7 linked regions of the Macaca mulatta genome follow. The protein of the gene in region 1 interacts with the protein of each later gene in a biochemical or structural test. Links are inferred from orthologs where the notes say so. Each region holds a gene or a part of one and is shown in the gene's direction. Other genes may lie near its edges.

Evidence for each region.
Region 2: the proteins of NEDD4 (region 1) and TNIK form a complex in vitro, tested with the Homo sapiens proteins (2 studies listed by BioGRID). The link is inferred for Macaca mulatta from reciprocal best matches to the Homo sapiens genes NEDD4 and TNIK.
Region 3: the proteins of NEDD4 (region 1) and TRERF1 interact in a test that uses a peptide from one of them, tested with the Homo sapiens proteins (2 studies listed by BioGRID and IntAct, with this or other methods). The link is inferred for Macaca mulatta from reciprocal best matches to the Homo sapiens genes NEDD4 and TRERF1.
Region 4: of the proteins of NEDD4 (region 1) and NTRK1, one has a biochemical effect on the other in vitro, tested with the Homo sapiens proteins (3 studies listed by BioGRID, with this or other methods). The link is inferred for Macaca mulatta from reciprocal best matches to the Homo sapiens genes NEDD4 and NTRK1.
Region 5: the proteins of NEDD4 (region 1) and RAPGEF2 form a complex in vitro, tested with the Homo sapiens proteins (2 studies listed by BioGRID and IntAct). The link is inferred for Macaca mulatta from reciprocal best matches to the Homo sapiens genes NEDD4 and RAPGEF2.
Region 6: the proteins of NEDD4 (region 1) and ESS2 interact in a test that uses a peptide from one of them, tested with the Homo sapiens proteins (2 studies listed by BioGRID and IntAct, with this or other methods). The link is inferred for Macaca mulatta from reciprocal best matches to the Homo sapiens genes NEDD4 and ESS2.
Region 7: the proteins of NEDD4 (region 1) and YOD1 form a complex in vitro, tested with the Homo sapiens proteins (2 studies listed by BioGRID, with this or other methods). The link is inferred for Macaca mulatta from reciprocal best matches to the Homo sapiens genes NEDD4 and YOD1.

What each region holds. Positions count from the first base shown.
Region 1 is NC_133412.1:33,147,773-33,151,272, reverse strand, and holds part of NEDD4 (E3 ubiquitin-protein ligase NEDD4), read left to right. Parts: intron 1-1,074; coding exon 1,075-1,196; intron 1,197-1,283; coding exon 1,284-1,354; intron 1,355-3,188; coding exon 3,189-3,284; intron 3,285-3,500. UniProt on the Homo sapiens protein: E3 ubiquitin-protein ligase which accepts ubiquitin from an E2 ubiquitin-conjugating enzyme in the form of a thioester and then directly transfers the ubiquitin to targeted substrates. Specifically ubiquitinates 'Lys-63' in target proteins.
Region 2 is NC_133407.1:82,744,236-82,747,735, reverse strand, and holds part of TNIK (TRAF2 and NCK-interacting protein kinase), read left to right. Parts: intron 1-1,867; coding exon 1,868-2,017; intron 2,018-3,500. UniProt on the Homo sapiens protein: Serine/threonine kinase that acts as an essential activator of the Wnt signaling pathway. Recruited to promoters of Wnt target genes and required to activate their expression. May act by phosphorylating TCF4/TCF7L2.
Region 3 is NC_133409.1:139,692,655-139,696,593, forward strand, and holds the start of TRERF1 (transcriptional-regulating factor 1), read left to right. Parts: upstream 1-1,139; 5' UTR 1,140-1,520; exon of another isoform or gene 1,521-1,952; intron 1,953-2,003; exon of another isoform or gene 2,004-2,108; intron 2,109-2,364; 5' UTR 2,365-2,449; intron 2,450-3,939.
Region 4 is NC_133406.1:110,056,634-110,060,133, reverse strand, and holds part of NTRK1 (high affinity nerve growth factor receptor), read left to right. Parts: intron 1-1,028; coding exon 1,029-1,097; intron 1,098-2,513; coding exon 2,514-2,659; intron 2,660-2,914; coding exon 2,915-3,057; intron 3,058-3,500. UniProt on the Homo sapiens protein: Receptor tyrosine kinase involved in the development and the maturation of the central and peripheral nervous systems through regulation of proliferation, differentiation and survival of sympathetic and nervous neurons.
Region 5 is NC_133410.1:167,416,837-167,420,927, forward strand, and holds the start of RAPGEF2 (rap guanine nucleotide exchange factor 2), read left to right. Parts: upstream 1-1,291; 5' UTR 1,292-1,311; intron 1,312-4,091. UniProt on the Homo sapiens protein: Functions as a guanine nucleotide exchange factor (GEF), which activates Rap and Ras family of small GTPases by exchanging bound GDP for free GTP in a cAMP-dependent manner.
Region 6 is NC_133415.1:33,572,330-33,575,829, forward strand, and holds part of ESS2 (splicing factor ESS-2 homolog), read left to right. Parts: intron 1-653; coding exon 654-763; intron 764-3,190; coding exon 3,191-3,306; intron 3,307-3,500. UniProt on the Homo sapiens protein: May be involved in pre-mRNA splicing.
Region 7 is NC_133406.1:64,800,761-64,804,743, reverse strand, and holds the start of YOD1 (ubiquitin thioesterase OTU1), read left to right. Parts: upstream 1-1,183; 5' UTR 1,184-1,787; coding exon 1,788-2,130; intron 2,131-3,100; coding exon 3,101-3,804; 3' UTR 3,805-3,983. UniProt on the Homo sapiens protein: Hydrolase that can remove conjugated ubiquitin from proteins and participates in endoplasmic reticulum-associated degradation (ERAD) for misfolded lumenal proteins.

The sequences.
Region 1 (3,500 bases):
TCGTGGCTAACACAGTGAAACCCCATCTCTACTACAACTACAAAAAAAATTAGCCGGGCGTGGTGGTGGGCACCTGTAGTCCCAGCTATTTGGGAGGCTGAGGCAGGAGAATGGCATGAACCTGGGAGGCAGAGCTTGCAGTGAGCCGAGATCGCATCACTGCACTCCAGCCTGGGTGACAGTGCGAGACTCCGTCTCAAAAAAAAAAAAAATTACTGTTTTAACCATTTTAAATATACAATTTAGAGTCATTACATACACTCTATTGTTGTGCTGCCATCACCACCATCCAACTCTAGAACTTTTTCATCTTCCCAAAATGAAACTCCGTACCCAGTAAGCACTTGCTCCCCATTCCCTGGCAGCCACCATTCTGCTTTCTGTCCCTGTAAATTTGACTCCTCTGGGTACCTCACATAAGTGGAATCATTCAATATTTGTCTTTTTGTGACCAGCTCATTTCACTTGGCATGATGTCTTCAGGGTTCATCCATGTTGTAGCATGTATCAGAATGTCCTTCCTTTTTAAGGCTGAATAATATTCCATTATTTTTGCATAGAATGCTTTGTTTAGGCCAGGCGCGGTGGCTCACGCCTGTAATCCTAGCACTTTGGGAGGCCGAGCCAAGTGGATCACAAGGCCAGGAGTTCAAGACAAGCCTGGCCAACATAGTGAAACCCTGTCTCTACTAAAAATACAAAAATTAACCAGGCGTAGTGGTGGGCACCTCTAATCCCAGCTACTTGGGAGGCTGAGACAGGGAAATCACTTGAACCTGGGAGGCGGAGGTTGCAGTGAGCTGAGACCATGTCGTTGCACTCCAGCCTGGGGAACAGAGCAAGACTCCATCTCGAAAACAAACAAACAAAACTTTGTTTATGCATTCATCTGCCAAGGACATTTGGGTTATTTCCACTTTTTGACAGAAATTACTATTTTTAAAACCATTAAATTCAGTGGAGGAATGTGGTTCTAACAGTAGTAAACAACTCTTAAAAGAGGAAGATTATTTATAATTATTTGTCATATTCAAGTGTTTCAAATGAAGTATTTAAATGGGGTTGTCTTTACAGGGACAATTATACCCTACAGATAAATCCAAACTCTGGATTGTGTAATGAAGATCACCTATCTTACTTCAAGTTTATTGGTCGGGTAGCTGGAATGGCAGTGTATCATGGCAAACTGTTGGATGGTTAGTATTAAGTATAAACTTTTACAATGTAATTACCTGTTGTCTTTCACTTGGTAATCATCCTAAATGTATTTGGTTTTTTGCAAGGTTTTTTCATCCGCCCATTTTACAAGATGATGCTTCACAAACCAATAACCCTTCATGATATGGAATCTGTGGTATGTCTTTTTCACTTATAGTTTAGACAAAGTATAATTTAATAAGTAACTTGAACATTTTGAGGAATTTGCTTTTAATGACATGGAAATTAATATATTATGTTTCAAAATACAAATTAACTTTTTCCTCAACATTTTATTATGAAAATTTTCTAACGTTTAATAAAGATGGAAGTATTTTACCCCGCACACTTGTATATCCACTACTCACAATTGGTTTTTTCTAGATTTACTGTATCACATACTTGTCTGTCTATCCATCAGCCTATCTTAGTTTCTTCATGCATTTCAGAGTAAGTTATAGATAACAGTAAACATCCCACTAAATACTTCAATAGGTTGTACAAGTTATGTGTCTTTGGAATCAGTATTTGCATTACGATCTTTTATGATGAATATTGCATGTGTGTGTGTGTGTGTGTATATATATATATATATATATATATATTTTTTTTTTTTTTTTTTTTTTTTTTTTTGAGACAGAGTCTCGTTGTGTTGCCAAGCTGGAGTGCAGTGGCGTGATCTCGGCTCACTGCAACCTCCGCTTCCCAGGTTCAAGCAATTCTCTGCCTCAGCCTCCCGAGTAGCTGGGACTATGGGTGCGCGTCACCTCGCCCAGCTAATTTTTGTATTTTTAGTAGAGATGGGGTTTCGTGTTCGCCAGGATGGTCTCCATCTTTTGACCCCATGATCCACCCGCCTTGGCCTCCCAAAGTGCTGGGATTACAGGCCTGAGCCACTGCGCCCGACCATATGGTGTATATTTTTTAAATGGCAGTCGAAAGGCAAAGCATTATGGTTAGGCTCCTAGAAAAAAACAGAAGCCCAAGGATTAAACCCCTGACTGTAGCCATGTTGTTTCCTGTGCTGCTGAATAGCCTCACACGATGTGTGTACACATGAATTCTAGGACATCTTCCTTAGTACCAAGTTCATTTTTTATTTTCTTATTACATATTAACAGCACAAACAGTGTGCTTCTTTATAAATCGTAAGATTGCACGGTTATTTGAGTTGGTTCATTGAGCCTCTATATTTATTTAGAGATTTTTCTTTAACTCGGGCTGGGTATAAACAATGGCCTCCTCATAGCTACTTAAACATTTCACACACAGTGCCGGACACAGGGGTGTGCAACTGTAATCCCAGCACTTTGGGAGGCTGAGGCATGTGGAACTTGAGGTCAAGAGTTTGAGACCAGCCTGGCCAACATGGTGATAGCCTGTCTCTACAAAAAATACAAAAATTAGCCGGGTGTCGTGGTGCATGCCTGTAGTCGCGGCTACTCAGGAGGCTGAAGTAGGACAATCACTTGAGCCAAGGAGGTCGAGGCTGCAGTGAGCCACAATCACCCCACTGCATTCCAACCTGAGGGACAGAGCAAGACCCTGTCTCAAAAAAAAAAAAAAATTAAATTAAAAAATAAAAATAAAACATTATAGTCACGTAGGCATATGAGGAATGTGCTAAGTGCTCCTGGATATCCAAAGCCAAAAGTTAGGTTTTATCTGAAAACTTCTGTATTCATTCCTTTAACTGGATGATACAATCTGTACCTCCACTGCTTCCACATAAACATAGATTCTGAACTTTTCAGTAGGCACCACTTGATTGATTGATTGACTGGTGCATTTTTACTCTTGCCCTTACCATCCATCTCTTTTTGTAATACACACACATACACACATACATTTTTGTTTATGTGTGTAAGTAAAGGATGTCCATCTGACCTCTCATCTTTTACCCAACTACTCAGCCCCTCTACATATTGTTTTTTTGCAATTTCAGGTGTGTTATATGTACAAATTTTAAATACGTAATTTTTCCCATCTAGGATAGTGAATATTACAATTCCCTAAGATGGATTCTTGAAAATGACCCAACAGAATTGGACCTCAGGTTTATCATAGATGAAGAACTTTTCGGACAGGTTTGTTAATTTTGATCAGTTAAAATGGCACGTAAATTGTGAAACAAATGTTTCGATGTTAATACGTACACTGAATACATTCCTAGGCTCTGTTTTTACATTTATTTTCCAGTAACAAAAACTGTCTCTCAGCAAGAATTTGTGCTTTCTTTAACATTTGACTCATTCCATATTTATTTTAGTAAAACTAATATTTTAAGTTTTCTTAGCTTTTAA
Region 2 (3,500 bases), on another chromosome or scaffold:
TGGTTTTATTGTTTCAAAAGTAAAGACTAAGTTAAACTTAGTCTCTAAATCTTTTAATCCTCATAAATTTTTCTGGATGAAGTCCCTAAAATGCAGGTGATGCTTATATGTCCCCAGTGCTAACTTATGGAAATGACCTAGTTTCTCTGCATTCTTCTATTTTGATTGTGTTTTCATTTTTTACCTTGTCTAAGTTTGTACCCACCATGGTTGGATTGGTCACTCATGAGATTTGCCAGGAGTGGGATGGGGATATGCTAGTCCTGTTGACCCCAGCTCATGAAGCTGACACCCGAATACCAGGAGGACCAGTACTTACAGGCACCCAGATGTGTTCAGAGCCGCATAACCTATCCATAGCCCAAGTAAACTTACCTTCTGCTTTCTCTCACACTCCCTGTCTCTCTCAGCTTATGTCTGTCTACTTCTTTGTGTCTCATTGGCTGTTACTTTTTCTCCCCACCTTTATGACTGTTATCTCCCTTTGGTTCCTTATTCATTCTTTTCTGCCACATTCACCATGGAGGGCAAAACCTTAGAACACTATGTAGGCCCACTTCAGAGCTGAATCACTTCTACCTTGTTCCCTAGTGCAGATGGCTTATTTGTGATGTGCTCAGGAAAATAGATTCATTAATGGAAATGGGCTCCCCTCCATAACCTCACTTTTATGGAAAAAAAAAAATTGGAATGCACTAGGTTACTAATAACAATTAAGGGATAACTCCTAAAAGCCAAAGTGTCCTGTTCTGCCAAAATCTGTCTCCACAAAAGCTTTTCAATCAACATCCCATTCCCATTCTTGCTCTGAAGTTACTGCCATCATTTTATGACCCAGAGCACATGAGAGAGTGCAAAATGTTCTTTCTGACAGACCAGATCCAGCCCAGAGAGAGGGAAAAGCAAAGGCAAAGACTTGAACAGGGAAGAGTGGAACTGGCAAGAGGCAAAGCCTTCCCATAGGACAAGGACAGGAGGCTTGAGCTTCCTGTGCTGTCAGAATGGTGTTAGCAAAAGATGAGAAGAGAAGGGTCTGAGAGGTAGCAGTGGCATTATAGCTAAGGCAATCGTAGTTTCACAAATGCTCTCCCAGATCTCAAGGCCCAAAGGTAGAGTGTGGTTAAAAAATAGCAAAGGAAAATGGCAGAGGAACACTTGACAGTTAGGTGGGGCTTGGGCTCTGGATTCAAACACAGAGAACTTTCACAAACTTGACAAGACCTCTCTTTTTGCTTTCTAGTTAAACCCAAATAGTCAATGCAAGCCATCAATCTTGTGATGTTCCACTCTCACCTCTTTCTCTACCACCCAAACCCAAGTCTCAGATTCCAACATTAAGAGAAAGTGCCAATCTTATGCCCACTCATTCGCTGAAGAAATTCCAAACCAGAGCATGCCCATTAACACTGAACAGGCTGAGAAAACAGCCGGCCTTGGCTGTCCCTCCCAGGCTGTCTTTGAAAGGGTAATTGCTATGGATGGGCCTCACTGCCACATGGGAAAGAGAGGGGCCAGAGAGGTAACTGGGCCTTCTTCCGAGGACAAAGGCCAGAAATAAACAGGAAAAAACAGCAGCACCCAGGCACCAGGTCTTTAATATACATTACCACTATCAAAATTTACACCTGTGCACCAGCTTAAACTTCATTGACCTGGAGGACAAAGGGTAGGGAAAGGGGCAAAAATGGATGCTAGACCCTTCCTCCTACAGCCAGAATATCAACAGACCTAAAACTGAAAGAGAAATTTTCTAGCTTTTCACTTTAATAAAGTTAGGAGTTAACTTCCTCTAGACAGTGGCTAAAGGAAAAAAATTATTAAGATACCTCTTTGAGTGATGCGGATACTGATGGGGTGATTTTTAAAGTCTTTTGCAGATCTCCAGCACAAGCCTCTGCTAGTTGATCTCACGGTAGAAGAAGGTCAAAGATTAAAGGTTATTTTTGGTTCACACACTGGTTTCCATGTAATTGATGTTGATTCAGGAAACTCTTATGATATCTACATACCATCTCATGTAAGTACCCAGAAGTAGACTTCCAAGGAATCTGTGTACAACAGCCTGCATGTAGAAAGAGATTTGTTTTGCACAGTTTTAGTAGAAGTCATGCAAACTTTACTAACCAGCAGACGGACTTTCGTTCTTCATTAAGTATACTGCTTTTAATAACTAAAATACATAAATTTAATTTACATGACTTCCTAAAACTGGAGAATACATAATAGAGATCATTTGGCATTTACATGTTGTCTCATTGGACTTTAGATTAAAATGAATATGATATTTTTCTTTCAAGAGCATGAATTATATTCGGTAGACGAGTTTCCACATTCAGTTTTTGAAGGGAAATTGGTTCATTTTATGTTAGAGAAAGCCAATGGTCAGGTACTAATTTATTGGAGAAAATTCTTTTTTTTTGCTATCTTTAGTTCCTTACTTCAGCTTGAGGGCAGCGTGGTATAGTGGAGTCAGACACAGGGGCACTCATACTCTGGCTCTAGCATGTATTAGCTTTGCAATAATGGACACAGTAGGCAGCCTCTCCAATCCTCAGCTTTCACATCTGTAAAATATGATAAAAAGACTTATCCCATAGGATTATCATTAGTATTAAATGAGGTAATGGATCTAAAGCAGTTGGTACAGGGTCCTGCAAATTATATATCTTACTAGCCCTAAAATATTCATATTACTATCCTGACATATTGCTTGAAACATAACTGTTAAAGGGAAATGCTGCACATGGATTCACTTATTAGGATCAGTGTAGTGTAAATTGTGTGTCCTGTGTGTAATTCCAAGGCTAACATACAGGAGAAACTATCAGGAATGTTTGAAGCTACTGCTGACTGGTATTTTGAGAATTTGAGGACTTTATTCTAATGAAATGCAATAACTAAAAGAAGTTGTTTTAGTATATTACATACACACACACGATTGCCATTCATTGCTGCATTATTACAGCTTTTAACTCATGTGTATGTGGGTGAACACAAGGATTCACAGCTCACATTCCTGGTGAGGCAGCTAAGGCATAACTGTGATCATCCTCAACTCTCTTATTCCAATCCATCAAGCACATGTTGGTCAGCCATGGCATTCGCAACTACGGGGATCACAACATCACATTTCCTTTCCTAGAACAAATTAATATACACTGATTTCAGTAGTGATTTTTTTTTTTATTTTTTGAGACAGAGTCTCGCTCTGTCACCCAGGCTGGAGTGCAGTGGCGTGCCTTGGCTCACTGCAAGCTGTGCCTCCTGGGTTCACACCATTCTCCTGCCTCAGCCTCCCAAGTAGCTGGGACTATAGGCACCTGCCACCACGCCTGGCTTATTTTTTGTATTTTTAGTAGAGATGGGGTTTCACTGTGTTAGCCAGGATGGTCTCGATCTCCTGATGTCGTGATCTGCCCATCTTGGCCTCCCAAAGTGCTGGGATTACAGGCATGAGCCACTGTGCGCAGCAATAGTGATTTTTTTAAATGACTGGTAAT
Region 3 (3,939 bases), on another chromosome or scaffold:
TTTCCCCCATGGAAAAAAAAAATGGATGGTGTAACTTTCTGTAGTGCAAAAAATACTGTCTTGCCCTCGAGACAGATGCCTCGAACCCGGCTCGAGGTGGTCTGTTTAGCTGAACTACCTTTGGCTCACGTTTCCACTGACCAGGAAAGAAGCTTGGAAATGCAGGGATATCAGGCCAGGTTCCCTGGCACCTGGGCCGACCACTGCCACGCCTTCGCGGGACCTGGGGGCAGTCCTGCTGTTGCCCTCCACCCCCGGCCCGCACCGCCAAGGTTTGAACCTTTGGCTCGCCTTTCAGCCCGCGCCCTGCCCCCTCCTCGCAGCTGCTCCCGGTTTGGGTGCAGCGGTTTCCCCCGCAGAGGAGGAGGAGGCAAGAGCGACGGAGCGACTCCGGGCTCGGGTTTCCGCACCAATGCCGAGCAGCCCCGGGCGGCCCCCGGCGGCCTTCCCTCCTCCCCGGCACCACGTTCCACAGTCATGGCGCGCGAGGAGGGGCGAGCGCGCGCGGCGGCTGCACCCGCGCCCCCTCTCCTCCCCTCCCCTCCGCCGCCCGGCCCCTCTCCTAGGCAACCTCCCTCCCTGGCCTGCTGCGCCCGCCGCGGCGATGGAGACCCCTCCCCAGAGAGCTGCTCTTCCAGCGCGGTCTACTGCACCCCTTCCCCGCCCCCATCGGGGCGGAGGGATGGAGACGCGCGCTTCGCGAACCTCCAGCCCCTTCTCCGGAGCCCCAGCCCTCTCCCAGCCCCACCGAGGCCAGGGTGCAGTGGGGGTGGGCGCGGACCGTCTCCTCGCAGCCCGCCTCGACCTCGGCATCTTTGCAGACCCTTAGAAAAATAAACAAACCCCCTCCCAAACCCCAGTCGTTTGCTTGCAAAGCGCGTTACAATAACCGGGACGGCTACGCAGGAAGCAATCCTGCACTGGTCTGGGTTTAAGGCGGCAGCTTCCCGGCCACGCTGCCTTCTCCCCGGCCTCGATTTTCCGGCCACGCCGGAGAGTCCGCTGCACCTCGGGGCTGACAGGTCCCGCTCGCGCAGGGCCGCAACTGGGCCCGTGTCCCCCGTCCCATCCTCGTCCAGAGACTCGCCAGCCTACAAAAGGTGCAACCTCACGCACACGCAAAGCGCACAAATAAAGTCAGCAGCGCACCGCCGCGAAGGCTGCGAACAATGCGCCGGGCTGCCCGCGCCCGCCGGAGCGCTGCGCCCCGGGGGAAAGGGGACGCGGGCGGGGGCCGCGGCGGAGGACCAGCCGGCCGCGGCGCTGGACACCTTACTTCCTGCTTCCCCGCCCGCGGCCAGACCCAGCTCTGCGGAGGGATATCTCTCCCCTCCTCGGTCCCTCTCCCTCCCTTCCCCCGCCCTCCCCCCTTTTTGCTCCTGCTCCCCCCCCCACCCCGCCTTTCTCCTTTTGCAAGAAAATAATTTGACAGTCGATTTGCTGACAGGGGAGGAATTTGCATCCTGGATTTAAAAAAAAAAAAAAAAAGGCCGAGAGGAGCTTGGGAACGGTTGCTAGGGGTGGGTAATGGGTGAAAAAAGGGGGGTACCGGGGAGCGGATAAGGAGGGTTAAGGGAGGGGGCGAGGATGGGGAGCAATGCAAAGGTAAGGCCAGGTTACCGCGGCTCGGCCCCGAGTGGGCTGCGGCCGGGGGAGGGGCGAGAGATACATATGTATTTCTGTCTCCCCAGCACACCCCCTTCCCTCTAAGCGATGGCTGAGAGGCGGTGCATGCAGATGGGGAGTAAGTTTCCTGAAGGGGAGGGTGGATGCACGCGCGCAGCCCGGCGCTGCAAATTTCCACCGGGGAGGGAGAACGGCTGGATGCGGAGAGTTTGGAGTTGCTTGCGGCGGAGGGCAGGAAGGGGAACAGGGCTGGGAAAGGGGGCTGGCGGGCGCTATATCTGGGAGTAAGTTTCCAGCATCAGGAGAGCCTGCACGCTTGCTCACTAGTAAGTTTCTGGCCGGGGAGGGCGCATGGGGAGGAGGAGAGGGAGGGGTGCATGTATATAGAAGGGGGGAGGGGGGGAGCAGATTTCCTGCGGGGAGGCTGAATGCATATGGAGAGTAGATTTCCTGAAGGGAGGGTGGAGGCGTAGACGGACCGAGTAAGTTTCTTGCTGGGGTGGTGGAGGAGGTGGTGGGTTGGTGCTTTGGAAACCCAAAGCTTCCTACCCCGGGTGGGGGAGCACACTCTTGCGGCGGGGCGAGGGGCCAGGTTCCCTGCTGGGGAGAGGGGCTTGCATCTGGGGAGTATGTTTCCTGGCGGAGCGATATTTGTTTACAGGCTGAGGGCAGTACTGTAAGTGAGTAGCGCTGAGAGAAGGCGGCTGACATAAATTAATATTGAAATTACTCCATCAGCTCTGCTCGCCCCCCATCTCACCCCCCAAGCGGAGACTGGTCTTCTCGTCGGATTGCCCATGCACTTGTTGCAGAAACAGCCAAGGTAGGCAAGAAGCTTATTAAGTTTCATTTTTAAAAAATTAGTTTGGGGATGCTCCTCTAGAAGACGGGGGTGGGGCGGAGTGGGGAGGGAAGAGTGGGGAGACAGAGAAGGAGAAGTCTCCCCCCCTTTACTTTCACTATGCAAGCAGGGCCTTCTCCCTTCTTCCCTTCTTCCCTCTCCTCTCTCTGGGCTGCACAGCATCCCAGCAAAGGGGGAGGGATGAGATGGGCGCTATAACTGGCAACCCTGGCTTAAAGGTAGTGATGGTGGGCTTGCATTTGAGATTGTGATGTTATAAAGGCTTCATTCTCCAGCTCAGAAACCGCAGGACTCTGCCTTTTGGGGTTTTTGACATGATGCATATGTGTATGTATACGCGCCTGCGGGCTCTGTGGGGGCTGGGTACTCCCCAGAAGTTAGTGTGGCCACCCAGATGGGAGCAGCGTGTAAGGGGGTAAACCTGTTCCTTCATTCCCCAACTTCAGTTTGGGAAACTGGGAAGTTACTGCCGGTGGTCTTAAGAAACAGATACTAAAAACCAAACCAAACCACTCATTCACTGGCGGAGGCCGAGAGCACCTGGCAGGCAGCCTCTGGGCAGCACTGGACTGGAGCATGTGCGCCTGCCATCCTTAGCTTACAAGAAAACGCTTTCTGGTTCCTCCGTGTGCCTTCCACTGGCCTGTTAGAGCCAGCTTTGTGGAAACTCTTCCCCAGACTGGAGGCAGCTTTGGCAACTGCCGGTGCTGAAGGGGGTGTCTTCAAGTCAGCGTGGCCTGGGCTGTCTTGTGAAGTGCGTGGAAGTCGTGCTTAGGAATGACTGCCCGGGAGTGGCTGAAGAGTTCATTAAAAAATGTCTCCCGAAAACCGGTCCAGGTGCACTTTTCAGCAGGTCACGGAGGAGAGCTTTAAGAAGGGGAGTTTTAAGTTGTCCCAGTTAGCACCCACCTTCTGCATCACTGACCCTTTTAAGAAAGGAGTTTGGCTATAGGAAGTGTGGTGTTGATGCTCACTAACTGGAGAGGATAACAGCAGGAGTCCTCAGCGCTTAACTAGTTAACCAGCAGCCTTTGCCTCTCCTTCCCTCTGTTTTCTTGGTCCTCAGCCTACTGGTGTCTGCAGAATAGTTGTAGGTCTTGGCTGTCAGCTACCTTGATGATGCTGGGAGTTTTAACTTTGCTAGGATAATTTTAGCATCTGAGGTCCAACCCAGAGACGTTTAGTAGGGTTAGGGAGTAGCCACTAGGCAGTGGGGTTAACTAAGGTTGGTTAAGCTTTCTGCAATTCTGCAGACAGGCTCTGTTCTAGCAGGGTCGAGAAAAATGGGTTTTAAAAAACTCACTACACATTGCTGATGGAGAGTGCTTTTTTTCTTTCCTAACTGTCGTCAGATTTCCAGATTGAGGGTTGATACTTGGCAGTTTGAGAGTTGAGTTAGTTGGGAATTAAATATTATTGCTGCTTATCAAATGTTCCTAACTAGGCATTAG
Region 4 (3,500 bases), on another chromosome or scaffold:
TGTGTCCAGCAATTTAACAAGGCAAAATAAAGTGATGTCGTATCACCATCTATGCACCGGGGCTTCCGTTAAAAACGTGTTCAATGACACTTCACGGTACTTATGTCAATGAATCTTCACAATCAACCTGGTGAGAGAGAGAGTGTTCTTGTCCCCATTTCATAGATAAGAATTCTGAGAATCAGAGAGGTTGAGTTTCTGGACTGAGGTCACACAGCTGTAAGTGGCAGGATAGAACTTACACCCGCTCTATCTGGCTCTAGAGTGGGTTGTGTCTTTGGTCCCTATGTGGTGGTACCTCTCCAACCCAGCCACCACAAATTCTAGGTTGACTAGGAAAAGAGAGGGGTCAGGATAGGCCCCTCAGAGGCAGAGGGTCCCAGCAGCAGCAGCCTGACAAAGGGCACAGGGCACTGGGGCTCCTACATCATTTTCCGGTGTGGCCAGGCCCCCGCTGGGCTCACTTTTTCCACCCCTACAACGAGGGGGCTGGGGGTGTGGGTCCTTTCCTGCCTGACCTTTTAGTCACTGAGGAGGGCCTGAAAGGAGGAGGTGGAGGGGAACTGAGGAAGTGCGTTGAGTTCCTTGTGGTCAGGTAGGGTCAAGGGAGTGTGGCAACCTCAATCCTCCCCCTCTTCCTCTGGCCCCGTCCTGGGCTCTGTGGGGAGGGGAGCACAGATGGAGCCCTTCCCCCAGCTGTGGCCTCAGCACTTTGCCAGCTGGGGCCAAAGCAGTGGGGGAGGGAGGAGCGGCTGTTCCCTCAGATCCCCCTCCCTGGGGTCTGGAGAGGGGGCTAAGTAGGGTTAACCCTTGTTGTCCCAGGGAAAGGAGTGGGACTCAAAAAGCCCTCTACCACGCCCCCCCATCCATCCACACACACTGCCTTCCAAGGCTTGTTCTGGCTGCCTAGACTGGAGAGGGGGAGCCAGATGTCAACTTCTTTCTCGGCTCCTCCCCTCCCTCACTCTGGGTCAGAGTGAGGTCGGGTCACTCAAGGGGTCTGTCTTGCTGTGTCTCCACGCCCGTAGGAATCTCTCCTTCAATGCTCTGGAGTCTCTCTCCTGGAAAACTGTGCAGGGCCTCTCCTTACAGGAACTGTGAGTGGGGGCACTTCCAGGGACAAGAGCACCAAGTGTGTGTGTGCCTGCGTGCACTTGGGTCTGTGGGATGGCATTGGGTCACTGTGTCTGTGTGGCACTGCTGGGGGGGTCTCTTTGGGGACTATGTGCATGCCAGTGACACCCCCATCAAAGCAGGGGCTGCAGGACCACCCGTTAAGGGGGCTACTGCCCTGGGGAGCTGGCCTGGATGACTGTGTGTGTGCTGGGCCTGGCTGAGCAGATCCCAGGCCCACTGTGTGTCCACGGCACATCTGGCAACATTCCCAGGGCACCTTGCACAGGGGTGAGTGGGGCGCAGGGGTTCATGTGTACCTGGTGGGCACTTAAGGCCTCTGGGTCACTCTGGGAGGCTGTGCCTTTCCCTCCTTGTCACCATGCTGAGAGCCCTTGCCTGGTTTCTCATCGGGGGAGCCTGGGGTGAGGGAGCCCCATGCATCCCTCAGCCATCAGCTGTCTTGTCTTCCACTTTCTGCATTCAATTTCTTTCATTTTTACATTATTTTTTCTTTTTGTGGAGTTGGGGTTTTGCCATGTTGCCCAGGCTGATCTTGAACTCCTGGGCTCAAGCAATCTTTCGCCTCAGACTCCCAAAGTGCCAGGATAACAGGTGTGACTCACTGCGCCTGGCCTATTTCTTTTCTCTCTCTCTCTCTCTTTCTTTCTTTCTTTCTTTTTCTTTCTTTCCTTTTTTCTCTTTCTTTCTTTCTTTCTTTCTCTTTCTTTCTTTCTTTCTTTCTTTCTTTCTTTCTTTCTTTCTTTCTTTCTCTCTCTCTCTCTCCCCCTCCCTCCCTCCCTCTCTCTCCCCCTCCCTCCCTCCCTCCCTCTCTCTCTCTCCCCCTCCCTCCCTCCCTCTCTCTCCCCCTCCCTCCCTCCCTCTCCCCCTCCCTCCCTCCCTCTCTCTCTCTCTCCCCCTCCCTCCCTCTCTCTCTCTCTCCCCCGCCTCCCTCCCTCTCTTTCTTTCTTTCCTTTCTTTTTTTGAGACAGAGTCTTGCTTTGTCATCCAGGCTGAAGTGCAGTGGTGCAATCTCAGCTCACTGCAAGCTCCGCCTCCTGGGTTCACACCATTCTCCTGCCTCAGCCTCCCGAGTAGCTGGGACTACAGGTGCCCGCCACCACGTGGTCCTGGCTAATTTTTTGTATTTTTAGTAGAGACGGGATTTCACCGTGTTAGCCAGGATGGTGTTGATCTCCTGACCTCATGATCCACCTGCCTTGGCCTCCCAACGGCCTATTTCTTTGAATAACATCCTGTTACTGGAGTCAGACGGAAAGACCTCTGTGTCCTCCCTTTCACCTGTAGACCGTCCTCCTCGCGGCCTAACTGCTCTCTCTTATCCCTGTGATCCCTCAGGCCCCTTCCTTGACTCACTTGGTGTCCCCCATGCCCACCAGGGTCCTGTCGGGGAACCCTCTGCACTGTTCCTGTGCCCTGCGCTGGCTACAGCGCTGGGAGGAGGAGGGACTGGGCGGAGTGCATGAACAGAAGCTGCAGTGTCACGGGCAAGGGCCCCTGGCCCATATGCCCAATGCCAGCTGTGGTAGGTGCTGGGTGAGGGAGATGGTGTAAGGGGGCTGGGAAAGAGGCTCACCTGCCTGAGGGAGAGGGCACTGAGCAAGCACTGAAAAGGCCTGGGGAATGGGCATTGGCAAAGGCTGGGGGATACTGCCTGGGGTGACATTGCCTGGGCTCCGGGTCACTGAGGAGGGTGGGGGAAGGAGCAGCCCTGCAGTAGAATTCTGGGGCCACTCCCAGCTCTAACACCCTTTGGCCCTTGGGCATCCTGGGTGGCCAGGTGTGCCCATGCTGAAGGTCCAGGTGCCCAACGCCTCCGTGGATGTGGGGGACGATGTGCTGCTGTGGTGCCAGGTGGAGGGGCGGGGCCTGGAACAGGCCGGCTGGATCCTCACGGAGCTGGAGCAGTCAGCCACAGTGATGGTGAGAAGCCCTTAGCCCGCAGCCCCCAAGAGGTCCAGGCAGAGCACAGGGGACAAAGACGGGGAAAGAGAGACACACTGTGGAGGAAAGAGACAATAAATAAGGAGCACACTGAGGCTGAGGGATGGACAGAGATGCTTTAGACCCACAGGGCTCAGGCCTATGCTGTGGGGCAGCCCAGGGCATGCACACCCTCGGGGGGGGGGCACTGACGCAGCAGGGACCCCAGGCTACACTTGAAGCCCCAGGACCCCTTTCTGGGAACATGGTGTTGGCTGCAAGGGAGAGGGTCACAGAAATCTTACATGTTGGAGCTGAGAGGAACCCAACAGACCATCTCTCCCATACATCCCTTTTCTTTCTTTCCTTCTTTCTTTCTTTCTCTCTCTCTCTCTCTCTCTCTCTCTCTTTCTTTCTTTCTTTCTTTCTTTCTTTCTTTCTTT
Region 5 (4,091 bases), on another chromosome or scaffold:
ACAATCAAAAATATCCACAGAAAAGCACCTCATCCTGGAAAGCAGCATGTTATAATAACAATAATGAAAGCTGACACTATGAGCCAAGCACTGGTTTTACACATATTCATTAGATTCTCATCCCTACACTTATTACTCTCAGCTTCATTTTGTAACAGTACAGATGTTGTCTTGTCCTTGTGCTCTTGGTCGTGAGATGTATAAGCGAATATAAGCCCCCTCGTGGTTAGGGGTAAAAGGCATGTTCTAAATCAATTAAAGAATTTATGGATATTTAAATGGACTTAAGGGAGGGGGGATATGGAGAGAGGCTAGTTAACAAATACAAAATTACAACTGGATAGGAGGAATAAGTTCTAGTGTTCTTTAGCATTGGATTAGGATAGTTAATAGCTTATTTTCAGAGAAAGCTAGAAGAAAGGTTTCAAATGTTCCCAACACAAAGAAATGATAAAAGTTTGGGGTGATGGATATGCTAATTGCCCTGATTTGATCATTACTCAGAACATGCCTAACTCATTCTTGGTCATACAGGAAGTTTTTCCTGGGGAAGACAGAACATGGCTGTTTTTATTATAGAACAATAATAGTCTTGAAAGAAACGTAGGCTCATTAAGTGGAGAAGGAAAGGGGGCTGGATATTAAGGGAACATTGTATTCCATGCTGCTGGGTCACCCATTTTAAAAAATGCTAATTAAGTAGTGTGCATTTAGTTAAATCAATGTACTCATAATTAGGTGTGCTTCTCATCTGAAACATAACTGAGAGCCATTAATTCCCTATGTTCAGCATAACAAGGAAGAGTCTTTTCCTGTAGGTTCACAATCCTCGTCTTTCAGAGGAGATCATGTATTGCTGAAAGTCTTCAGTCCTCCCTTCCCCCAAACAATCCATGAGGGGTCTGGCTATTGACAGGAGGAGTGTGAGGAGGGGACAAGGCCCTGGTCATCAAAGGCCTGTGATAGCTTCTGGTCAGCGAAGGCCTGTGATAGCTTTGTAAAGCCAAGTGTGAGTGATGGCCGAGTTTCCATTATTACAATGAAGTCGGGGGGCCTTCAATAATTTGACAGGTAGAAGCACTTGCTTCACATTTCATTGTTCTCATTCAGTATTTAGCAAGTCACAGTAAACATGAAAATAGAAACTTCTGGGAATACACAGTGATGCAGATATAATTTCAATCCAGGTTCCTAAGTATAGAGAAGACTATCTGGAATCATTCCAAAGACTCCTCTGAGAGCTTTCCAGGACAGGCGCCACTGTGTGTTCCCCCTCCATGGCTGCTCAGCACTACCAGGGAAGAGGGGGGGAGGCTGGATGCCACTTTCACAGGCTTGCTGCTCAGGAGCTCGGTGATCCTTGCTTCTGCCCAGCCACTTCCCTGTATACAATGTGATGCCACCCGTTAGTGGGCTGTGGAAACAATTTAGTGGGTTTAATTAAAAAGCATTTAATTGGTGTAATAGAATAGAAAATATCAGTGACTTACATGTATACTTTGTAAAATGTCTGTTTCAAAAGGTGCATTGAGGTTGCAGTATAAAATGTATTTCTTTCTTGGAATAGGTATACAAAGTTTGAATGCTGCTGTCTACACCACTGACTGAAGTAGTTCCATAGTCTCTTTTTGACCTATATGGAACTTAAGAGTTAAGAGTTTGTGGAAATGAAAAGGACCTTTTCTACCCAAAAGAGATTTGGACCACTGATTTAATATAAGTTAAAATGTGTGAAATTTTTTTCTCAGAAGTTTACCTTGTATTTTTCAAAATGCAGTGGAATTAGACTACAAATCAATTTTTTTTTAATTCTCACTGTCTCAGAAATCAAACCATGTATTTTTGTTGTTGTTGTTGTTTTTGAGACAGAGTCTCACTCTGTCACCCAGGCTGGAGTGCCATGGTACAATGAAGGCTCACCACAGCCCCAACCATGGGCTCAAGTGATCCTCCCACCTCAGCCTCCCTGGTGGCTGGGACTACAGATGTGCGTCAACATGCCCAGCTAATTTTTGCATTTTTTGTAAAGGCAGAGTTTCACCATGTTTTGCAGGCTGGTCTCGAACTGGGATCAAGCGATCTACCTGCCTCTGCCTCCCAAAATGCTGGGATTACAGGTGTCAGCCGCCGTACCCAGCTGAAAACCACATTTAAATAACCCACAAGCCAAACAAATTGCACAAAAGAAATTAGAAAACATTTGAAATAATGATAATAAAGATGAGATAAGTTAAACTGTGTAGGGTATAAGGAAACACTGTTGAAAGGGGAATTCTACAACATAGACATTATTAGAATGTGATCAGGAATAAGTGTGCCTTTAAGATCCTTAACTCTCTTCTCGTCTCCTATTTTTGTTCTCTCTCAGCTTCTCCTTGTTTATTTTTGTTTCTGTCTGTATAGTCCCCTACCTCTCTAACCCCCTTTCTTTCACCATGCTTTCTTTACAGAACTTCTAACTTCTCTCAGCTTCTCCACCTCATTCTTTCCTCTCTTTCTAGTTTCCAACTTTTCACTATTGTTCCCCTCAATAGTTCTTTCCTTTCTTCTCCCTCTTCCTCCCTCTTTGTTTTCTTTTTCTCTACTTGTTTTACCCTCCTGGCTGTTATCGCCTCTCCTTCTCCATCCTCTTTTGGCTTCACCCCAGTTCTCTATCATTTTGCACCTCTCTAACATCCCATCTTTTTTCTTTCTGCTTTCCCTTCTCTCTATTCTTCCCTCTTTCTTCCTAGTTTCCTCTGTCTCTCTACTCCCTCTGTCTCTCCCTCCCTGAGTCTCAACTCTGTGTCCCTGTTTGCCACCGTTGCTTTCTGTGACCTCTCCTCCTACTTCGTCCAGCACCTTTCCTGCTTCCGTGCACTCTGTCTTTGGCCTGTTTCACTTGTAAGCCCTCTTGACTCCTTCACTTTTTCTTCTGCTTTTTCCCCATTTGCGTCTCTTTTAAATTTTTATTTTTAATTGAGGTAAAAAGCATATAACAACGTTTATTATCTTAACCATTTCGAAGTGTACACAGTTCAGTCATGTTAAGTACATTCACGTTGTTGTGCAATTTCTTCATTTTAAAAAATTATACTTATGAAAACAAATCTACTCTAAAAATCAGCTTCAGTTATCCAGGACTCAAAAAAAAATTGCCTTCAACTTCCAGTAAATATTTAATATTGTGGGTCTATTGTTTTAAAAATGCTTTATTTTATGAAGTTTGGCTATAATGTATTAGCACTGGTTCCAGTCACATTGCACTCATTATTTTATATAGTTTAAGTGATTATAAATTGTATTTTTAATAACCTTCCTTGTTTTACCATTTCCATTTATTCCTTAGTTATTAAAATGTGCAATACTCAAATGCATTGCTAAAAAATCATATTCTAAGTGTTCTTTCCCCTGTAGTTTGTTATGCCAGATTTTGGATAAGTAATGCTGCTTCTTTATTAATATTGAAACTGATTTAACAAAAAATATTTCATGAATTCTTGAAACGACTGTTGATATCCTGCAGCAGTAGGCAGATGTAATCAAAGTAACAGTAGTGAGCTCTTAGGAAGGTTTTCTCAAACAGAAATCCTAGCTTCGGCCTACAATTCTGAGTTACTCTCTTGAATTCTAGGCTGATTTCTCAGTCACTTGCAAAGTCCTCTCAATTAAAACTCTATCAGCCTGTAATCTAGTCATTTTATAGAGAGGATTGTTTATTATTATTTCTGTCCTGCCCTTTGAATGTTCTTAGGAACCGTACACGAGGGACTACTCGCAGAAGGAGGTATTTCCTAATGGGTCCCTGGGGAGGTACTTTCCGATGGTTCTCATCACTTTTTTTCCATACTCATCTATTTTAATTAGTTTTATCCAGTATATGCCCTTATTTTTTTTTTTTTTTTTTTGAGACGGAGTCTCGCTCTGTCACCCAGGCTGGAGTGCAGTGGCCGGATCTCAGCTCACTGCAAGCTCCGCCTCCCGGGTTCACACCATTCTCCCGCCTCAGCCTCCCGAGTAGCTGGGACTACAGGCGCCCGCCACCTCGCCCGGCTAGTTTTTTGTGTTTCTTAATAGAGACGAGGTTTCACCGTGTTAGCCAGGATGGTCTC
Region 6 (3,500 bases), on another chromosome or scaffold:
TCTCCTGTCTGTACAAGGCCTTAGAGGCCAGGTGTCCAGGCTGCTTGGGGCCATGGGCGGGCTGGACTCTCAGGCAGACCTGACCCGAGATGTCCTGGGGTGATGTGTTCTGTCCTGGTCCTTGCTGTGATGTCAGCAGGTGGGGGTGTGTGCACAGTGCTTATGAGTCTAAGTCTACCTAGCACTGCAGGGAGGGAGGCTCGGCACCTCAGGGGGCAGGTGACACTCAGGTGGTCCCGTGGCATGCATGGGTGCCCCTCCTGCAGTCTGGCCTCTGTGCTTTTGGGTGCTGGTGCTGTGTCACAGGTCAGGGCATGTGAAGGCACCACAGGTTTGTCCGGGGTTCTAGGAGGTTTGGGAGCCCTGGAAGGCCTGAGTGTCTCCTCCCGCATGGCTGGGGGAGACCTCCCAGAGGCTCGTAGGCTAAGCACATGGCTGTAGGGCCTTGAGCCTGCCTCGGGCCTGCTAGGAGCTTGGCATTTCCCTTTTGGAGGATGGAGGTGCCAGGGTTCCAGAGTCCTGGGAAAGGAGAATGGGCTAGCTGCCTGTATTCATGTTAGCTGGGATGCACATTGGGTGAACAGGCTGTGACTGGAGGGGAGGGTGGTGGGGAGTCCTCTGGCCTGAGACGGTTTTGGGCTCTTTATTTGCAGGTGTGAACGAGTCCCCAATGATGACCTGGGGGGAGGTTGAGAACACACCGTTGAGAGTTGAAGGGTCGGAAACCCCCTACGTGGACAGGACACCGGGCCCAGCTTTCAAGGTGGGTCGTGGTGATGGGGGAACCGTGTGTGACCGGGGTGGACACCTCTAGAGCCCTGAGTGCCTGTGGCTCAGGACTGAGCACTGGAATCGGCCCCCAGCTGCTGACAGGCAGAGTGCTGGCTTTTCTGAATGCCAGGGCACCGAAGGCAGGTGTGGGTGGGTGGACCTGTCACAGAGGGATTTGGGGGTGTGAGGGCTGAGACACCAAGGCAGGGAGTGGCTTGGGCCCTGTGGATCCTGGAGGCCGGGTGCTGTTCACGAGTGAGGGAGGATAGTCACAGACACGTCAGGAGCTCTGCAGGCCTGAGGACCACGGGATGCGGCTGTGTGCTTGCAGAGGAAGGCCCCTGGTTACAGAACATGACTGGGGCACGCTGGATGACACGGCTCAAGCCTGGTGTTGTAGGAGTGGTCAGGGTGGAGTGTGTGAGAACCGGCACAAACCAGGGGAGGCTCTTCGTGGGCTGGGTCAGGTGCAACAGGCCTCCCCGTACCACTGCGGGGCTTTCCCCAGAGTACTTAGTAGAGGTAACCCATGTCCAGACAAAACATGGGGAGAGGTTTTGGTTACTTTGGTTCTGAATTGTCTGGGATGCAAGGATAACTAAGGCAGGCATGCGAGAGGGATAATGAAGAGGATGCTATGCTGTCAAATGTGAGAGCATAAGGCAAGGGCTGAGGTGCTTCCAAGGTGCGCCTGCCACTGCTTCCCGAGTCTCCAGGCCAACGGAAATTGTGAAATCATGAGTCAGAATTTAGGGCTCGATAAAGATGGCAACTCAAATTGCACTGAATAGCAGAGTATTTAGAAATGAAGGAAGCTGGGTCCTTAGGATGTGTAGCAGCATACATTCTGGAAAGGTGAAAAGGTTACATGTAAAAACAATAACCATAAAACAACTAGAAGAAAATAGTGGCGAGTATTTAGTTTGATTTTTTTTTTTTTTTTTTTTTGAGACGGAGTCTCGCTCTGCCGCCCAGGCTGGAGTGCAGTGGCCGGATCTCAGCTCACTGCAAGCTCCGCCTCCCGGGTTCACGCCATTCTCCTGCCTCAGCCTCCCGAGCAGCTGGGACTACAGGCGCCCGCCACCTCGCCCGGCTAGTTTTTTTGTATTTTTAAAGTAGAGACGGGGTTTCACCGTGTCAGCCAGGATGGTCTCGATCTCCTGACCTCGTGATCCGCCCGTCTTAGCCTCCCAAAGTGCTGGGATTACAGGCTTGAGCCACCGCGCCTGGCCTAGTTTGATTTTTTTTTTTTTTTTTTGAGATGGAGTCTCGCTCTGTTGCCCAGGCTGGAGTGTGGTGGCGCGATCTCGGCTCACTGCAACGTCCACCTCCTGGGTTCAAGTGATTCTCCTGCCTCAGCCTCCCGAGTAACTGGGACTACAGGCATGCGTCATCATGCCCGGCTTATTTTTGTATTTTTAGTAGAGATGGGGTTTCACTATGTTGGCCAGACTGGTCTCGAACTCTTGACCTTGTGATCCACCCACCTCAGCCTCCCAAAGTGCTGGGATTACAGGTGTGAGCCACCATGCCTCGCCTTTATTTATTTATTTATTTTAAACAGATAGGGTTTCACTGTGTTGTCCAGGCTGGAGAACAGTGGTGCAATCGTAGCTCCTTGTAACATTGAGCTCCTGGGCTCAAGTGACCCTCCAGCCTCAGTCTCCTGAGTAGCTGGGACTAACAGCACACACCACCACACCCAGCTAATTTTGTGTATGTGTGTGTGTGTAGAAAAGAGGTCTCGTCATGTTGCTCAGACTGGTCTCCAACACCTGAGCTCAAGTGATCCTCCTGCCTTGGCCTCCCAAAGTGCTGGGGTTCCAGGTATGAGCCACCACTCCCAGCCTGTAGTCTAATCTTAAGTTAGGGAGGACTCTCTAAACAAAAGCAAAGGAAGAAATCACAAATGAAAATAACAAATACAGCAGAAAATGTTATAAGTGAAACAAGGGCAAATAACTGAAAACACATATGCACGGTGTAGCGCAGTTGACTTGACACAGGGTCTTGGCGAGGGTCTTCTGAGTGACAGCAGCAGAAAAAGAAAATGAGCCCCTTGAGAGTAAAATAGGCCACAGACACGTGGGGAAGCGCCCAAAATACAGAGTGCCGATAAGACAGAGATGTTCACGCCGATAATCAGGGAAACGTTAAAACAGACCTCTTGTTCCTGAGAGGTTGTCAGAGGTCATGGCTTTGGGAGGAACAGGAAGACAGGTGAGGAGTGCTGGGCCCTGGGCAGGTCAGGCGGGGTTGGGGGCTTTCCAGGGGCTTTTAGTGGGAGATGATGGTGGGTTGTGGGGGTTTTGTAGGCAACAAAGAGAGGCTGGCAGCCACCACAGTGGCTTTCTGTGTGAGGGGCTGCCTGGCATGTGGCAGGCCTGGCACAGCTACCCACACGCCTGCTACCTTGTAGATCCTGGAGCCGGGCCGCAGGGAGCGACTGGGGCTGAAGATGGCCAACGAGGCTGCCGCCAAGAACCGGGCCAAGAAGCAGGAAGCCTTGCGGAGAGTGACGGAGAATCTGGCCAGGTGAGGGGCCGCCTGGCTGGTGGGGAAGTGTGAGGGTAGCTCTGGCCTGCTCCTGCTTGGCCCCTGCCCTGACAGTGTGGAGGCATGGCCCATGCGGCAGAGTCCAGGGCAGGTCTGTGGGGTTCTGCAGTGGGTACTGTGGCAGCTCCTCTATCCAGAGCACGGCCACACATGGACAGGATGAGAGGCCCCCT
Region 7 (3,983 bases), on another chromosome or scaffold:
GTTTTTGCTAGAATAAACTACCACAACACTTGAGCTAATTATGCCTTAGGGTGTATACATACCCCGTTCCACAGGTCAGACGCTGTAACCTAAGAAACTCAACCACTCTCATCGTTGAACCAGAAGCTTCCCTGGACCCACCCATACACCCCAGTGGAATTTTTTTTTTCTTTTTTTGAGATGGAGTTTTGCTCTTGTTGCCCAGGCTGGAGAGAAATGGCACGATCTTGGCTCACCGCAACCTTTGCCTCCCGGGTTCAAGCGATTCTCCAGCCTCCGAGTATCTAGGATTACAGGCATGCGCCACTACGCCCCCCTTATTTTGTATTTTTAGTAGAGACAGGATTTCTCCATATTGATGAGGCTGGTCTCGAACTTCTGACCTCGGGTGATTCACCCGCCTCGGCCTCCCAAAGTGCTGGGATTACAGGTGTGAGCCACCGCGCCCGGCCACCCCAGTGGACTTCTAACCGCTCCTACCTTCCCTCCTACCTACCTCCCAACTCAGGCTGTATCATCTGTTGTAGTGTCTTGAAGAACCAAGGAGGAAAATTGCACCAGCAGAAAAAAATTGAGTCATGAAAGATGTGAAAAGATAGAAACATTACATATCATTTATTCAGAAGCAAAGTCTTTTACAGTGGAGGTGAGTTTGGACCAAGTGAACTACACTTTTCATAGTTGCCCCAGTGGGCCCGTTTGATGCTTGATAAACACACTCTAGACAAGTGGGACTTGCTGTCTGGATACCGGCTGGATAAAGAACAATGAGTATAGATTTCTTGGAAAATAGACATATAAATTCAGGGATGTCTTTATTCCTCCTTCGCCTGGGAATTAAACTCATTCTTCCAAAAGTTCAAACAGTTATCTCCTCTTTGAGACTTTTTACAACTCCCAGAGTGCTCTAGTTGCCCTCTCTATGTCTATACAACTCTGTCTTTATTCTTTCAGCAAGTATTTGTTGAACATTTTTTATTTGCGATTCACAGTCCTGGGTTCTAGGCACACACGGTTGAAAAGGTACACATAATCTAGCATTATCACGTTGCTTTGAAATTCAGTGGCTGTGTGTCTCACACCCCACCCTGTCTCCCAACTGCAATCAATACTTGTTACAATGAAGGCAGGAATGAAGTCTTCATATTTGCATGCCCAGGAACTGAACTGGAATCTGATGACACGCACTACATGACTCCTCCTTACACTGCCACCACCTGAATGAGGCAGCTGCCCTGGGCCCAGATGCTGACCTCATACTGTGCTTTCTGATGTGGCAAATAGACGTTTTCAAGCAGTCCCAGGGAGGCAGAAAGGCCAGTCCTTTGGCCCCTGGAACCTCAATGAGTCAATGTTTAATGCAGCCACGAGTCTAGTCACAAGTATAATTGTTTTTGACTGGTCCTTTGACTCAGTGACCATTCCTGGCATTCGTTTGCGTTGTGAACTATGATTCTGTTTCTCCTAATGTAGTCTGGGTGTAGCGTGGAAGCCCCAATTTAATAATTTCCGACCTCACTAAGTGCAAGGTCACATTCCAAGCTCCAGAGCTTCATTAAGGAACTCCTTCCCCCGCCCTCTTTTCTTAAGCATATATGCTACCGACGCGGAGGGCACCTCACTCGCTCTACAAGTAGCAAGACCCGTTGTCCTTTAGGAATACGGAGGTTTACATCTTCGTTCTGAGGGTGGGGGAAAAATCAGTTGCCACTTTAAAAGAGTTCGCGCTTAAGGCAGAAGCCGCGCCGAAGCGTCGCGAGAACTGTAACAACCCGCAACTTCTCGCGATGTTTGGCCCCGCTAAAGGTCGCCATTTTGGAGTCCACCCGGCGCCTGGTTGCCCCGGCGGCATCGCTCAACCGGCTGCCGGGACCAAAGCTGGTCCCGCGGGTGTCTGGCCTGTGGGCAGCCGGACCGACACGATGTGGCGGCTCCGCTGCAAGGCCAAGGACGGCACCCATGTTTTGCAGGGGCTGTCCAGCCGGACCCGGGTGCGGGAACTCCAGAGCCAAATTGCCGCCATCACCGGGATCGCCCCCGGCGGTCAGCGAATCCTCGTCGGATACCCTCCCGAGTGCCTGGATCTCAGCAATGGGGATACCATTCTGGAAGACTTGCCCATCCAATCTGGTAAGGAATCAGGGCAGGGGCCAGGGAAAGTCCCGGGAGGACGGAGAGGGGCGTGAGAGAGAACAGAACACTAGTCAAGGCAAGGTGGCTGTGGGTCGGCGGGGGACTTTGAGGCCAGGGGCGAGGATAGATCAAAGAACAGAGAACTCTGACGGGGGCCGGGGCAAGTGTCTAGCAACTCCTTGTCTTGACACAGGGTTGAAAGGGAACCCAAAGGCTTGAAGTCCCCCTTCCCCAATCCGCTTTCTGCTCGGCTTTGAAACTATCCCATTTTGTTTTCCGTCGGCGTCCACAAAAATATGAAGAAGTAGGGCCTATTTTCTCTGTCCTTATGTCTCTTTTCCCCTGTATCATCGATGAGATCTCAAGGATGCAGGATTTTTTTTTTCTTGGTTCATTTTTGCAATCCCCTTCATAGATACTTCGTTTGACAGGCATACTCATTTTCGAGTCAGCTTTTAAACACCCACTGAAAGCCCTTTCAATTTCTAACCAGTAGCAGTTATTTTTGTGCCATATCAAAACTTGAACATCAGTGTTTATAATTAAAAGCTTTCAGTTGCTGTATCAAGGACGCTGTAAACACTCAGAGTAGATAAGTTCCCAGAGAAGGAGACCCCCCTAGCGGCCTACTCTGTAGTGAGCACCTTCTGTAAAATACTGTATAAGGAAAGGAAATTTTGTTTTTGAAATGTATCTTTTTAGGTAAGCTTAAAGTTGTTTACTCCAGACCGCTTCACTAAATTGGGATGCAACCTGAAGTGTCTTTGTTCTTTGTTCTTTTTTCATCTTTATGAAAATTCAGTGAACAAAGATTGTTACTGGTAACTTATTTGCAAAGCTGTCTTCTCTTTAATAACCCCAGTTTATGCTTTAACTCCTTCAGTTTGTAATTTACAGACTTGGCTAGTGAACACTCGGTTTCTTCTATAATTTCTCTGCAGATCGGGATTTGTTTTATTTTTAACAGGTGACATGCTGATCGTTGAAGAAGACCAAACCAGGCCCAAAAGTTCACCTGCATTTACTAAACGTGGTGCTTCTAGTTACGTCAGGGAAACTTTGCCTGTGCTTACCAGAACCGTGGTCCCAGCAGACAATTCTTGCCTCTTTACCAGTGTGTACTATGTCGTCGAAGGAGGAGTCTTGAATCCAGCTTGTGCCCCTGAGATGAGACGCCTCATAGCACAAATTGTAGCAAGCGATCCGGACTTCTATAGTGAGGCAATACTGGGAAAAACAAATCAAGAGTACTGTGACTGGATCAAAAGGGATGACACTTGGGGAGGAGCAATAGAGATATCGATTTTGTCCAAGTTTTACCAATGTGAAATATGTGTAGTGGATACACAGACAGTAAGAATTGATCGTTTTGGGGAAGATGCAGGATATACTAAAAGGGTTCTGCTTATTTATGATGGCATCCACTATGATCCACTTCAGCGTAACTTCCCTGATCCAGATACACCTCCTCTGACCATTTTCTCCTCTAATGATGATATTGTTCTTGTACAAGCACTGGAATTAGCAGATGAAGCTAGAAGAAGGAGACAGTTTACTGATGTCAACCGCTTCACCCTGAGATGCATGGTATGTCAGAAAGGATTAACTGGACAAGCAGAAGCAAGGGAACATGCCAAGGAGACAGGCCATACCAACTTTGGAGAAGTGTGATCTATGCATGAATGAGGGTTGAAGTCTACTACCTCACAGATCCAGAAGGCTCTGGGTTTTCCAATAAGCTGTCGTAACCCTAAAGAACAAAGGACACAATGCTTGAACCATCCTTTTGACTTAAAACCACTAAGACACTGAAATTCCTTGTTAAGATTAAAATTAGTGTGCAAGTTTAC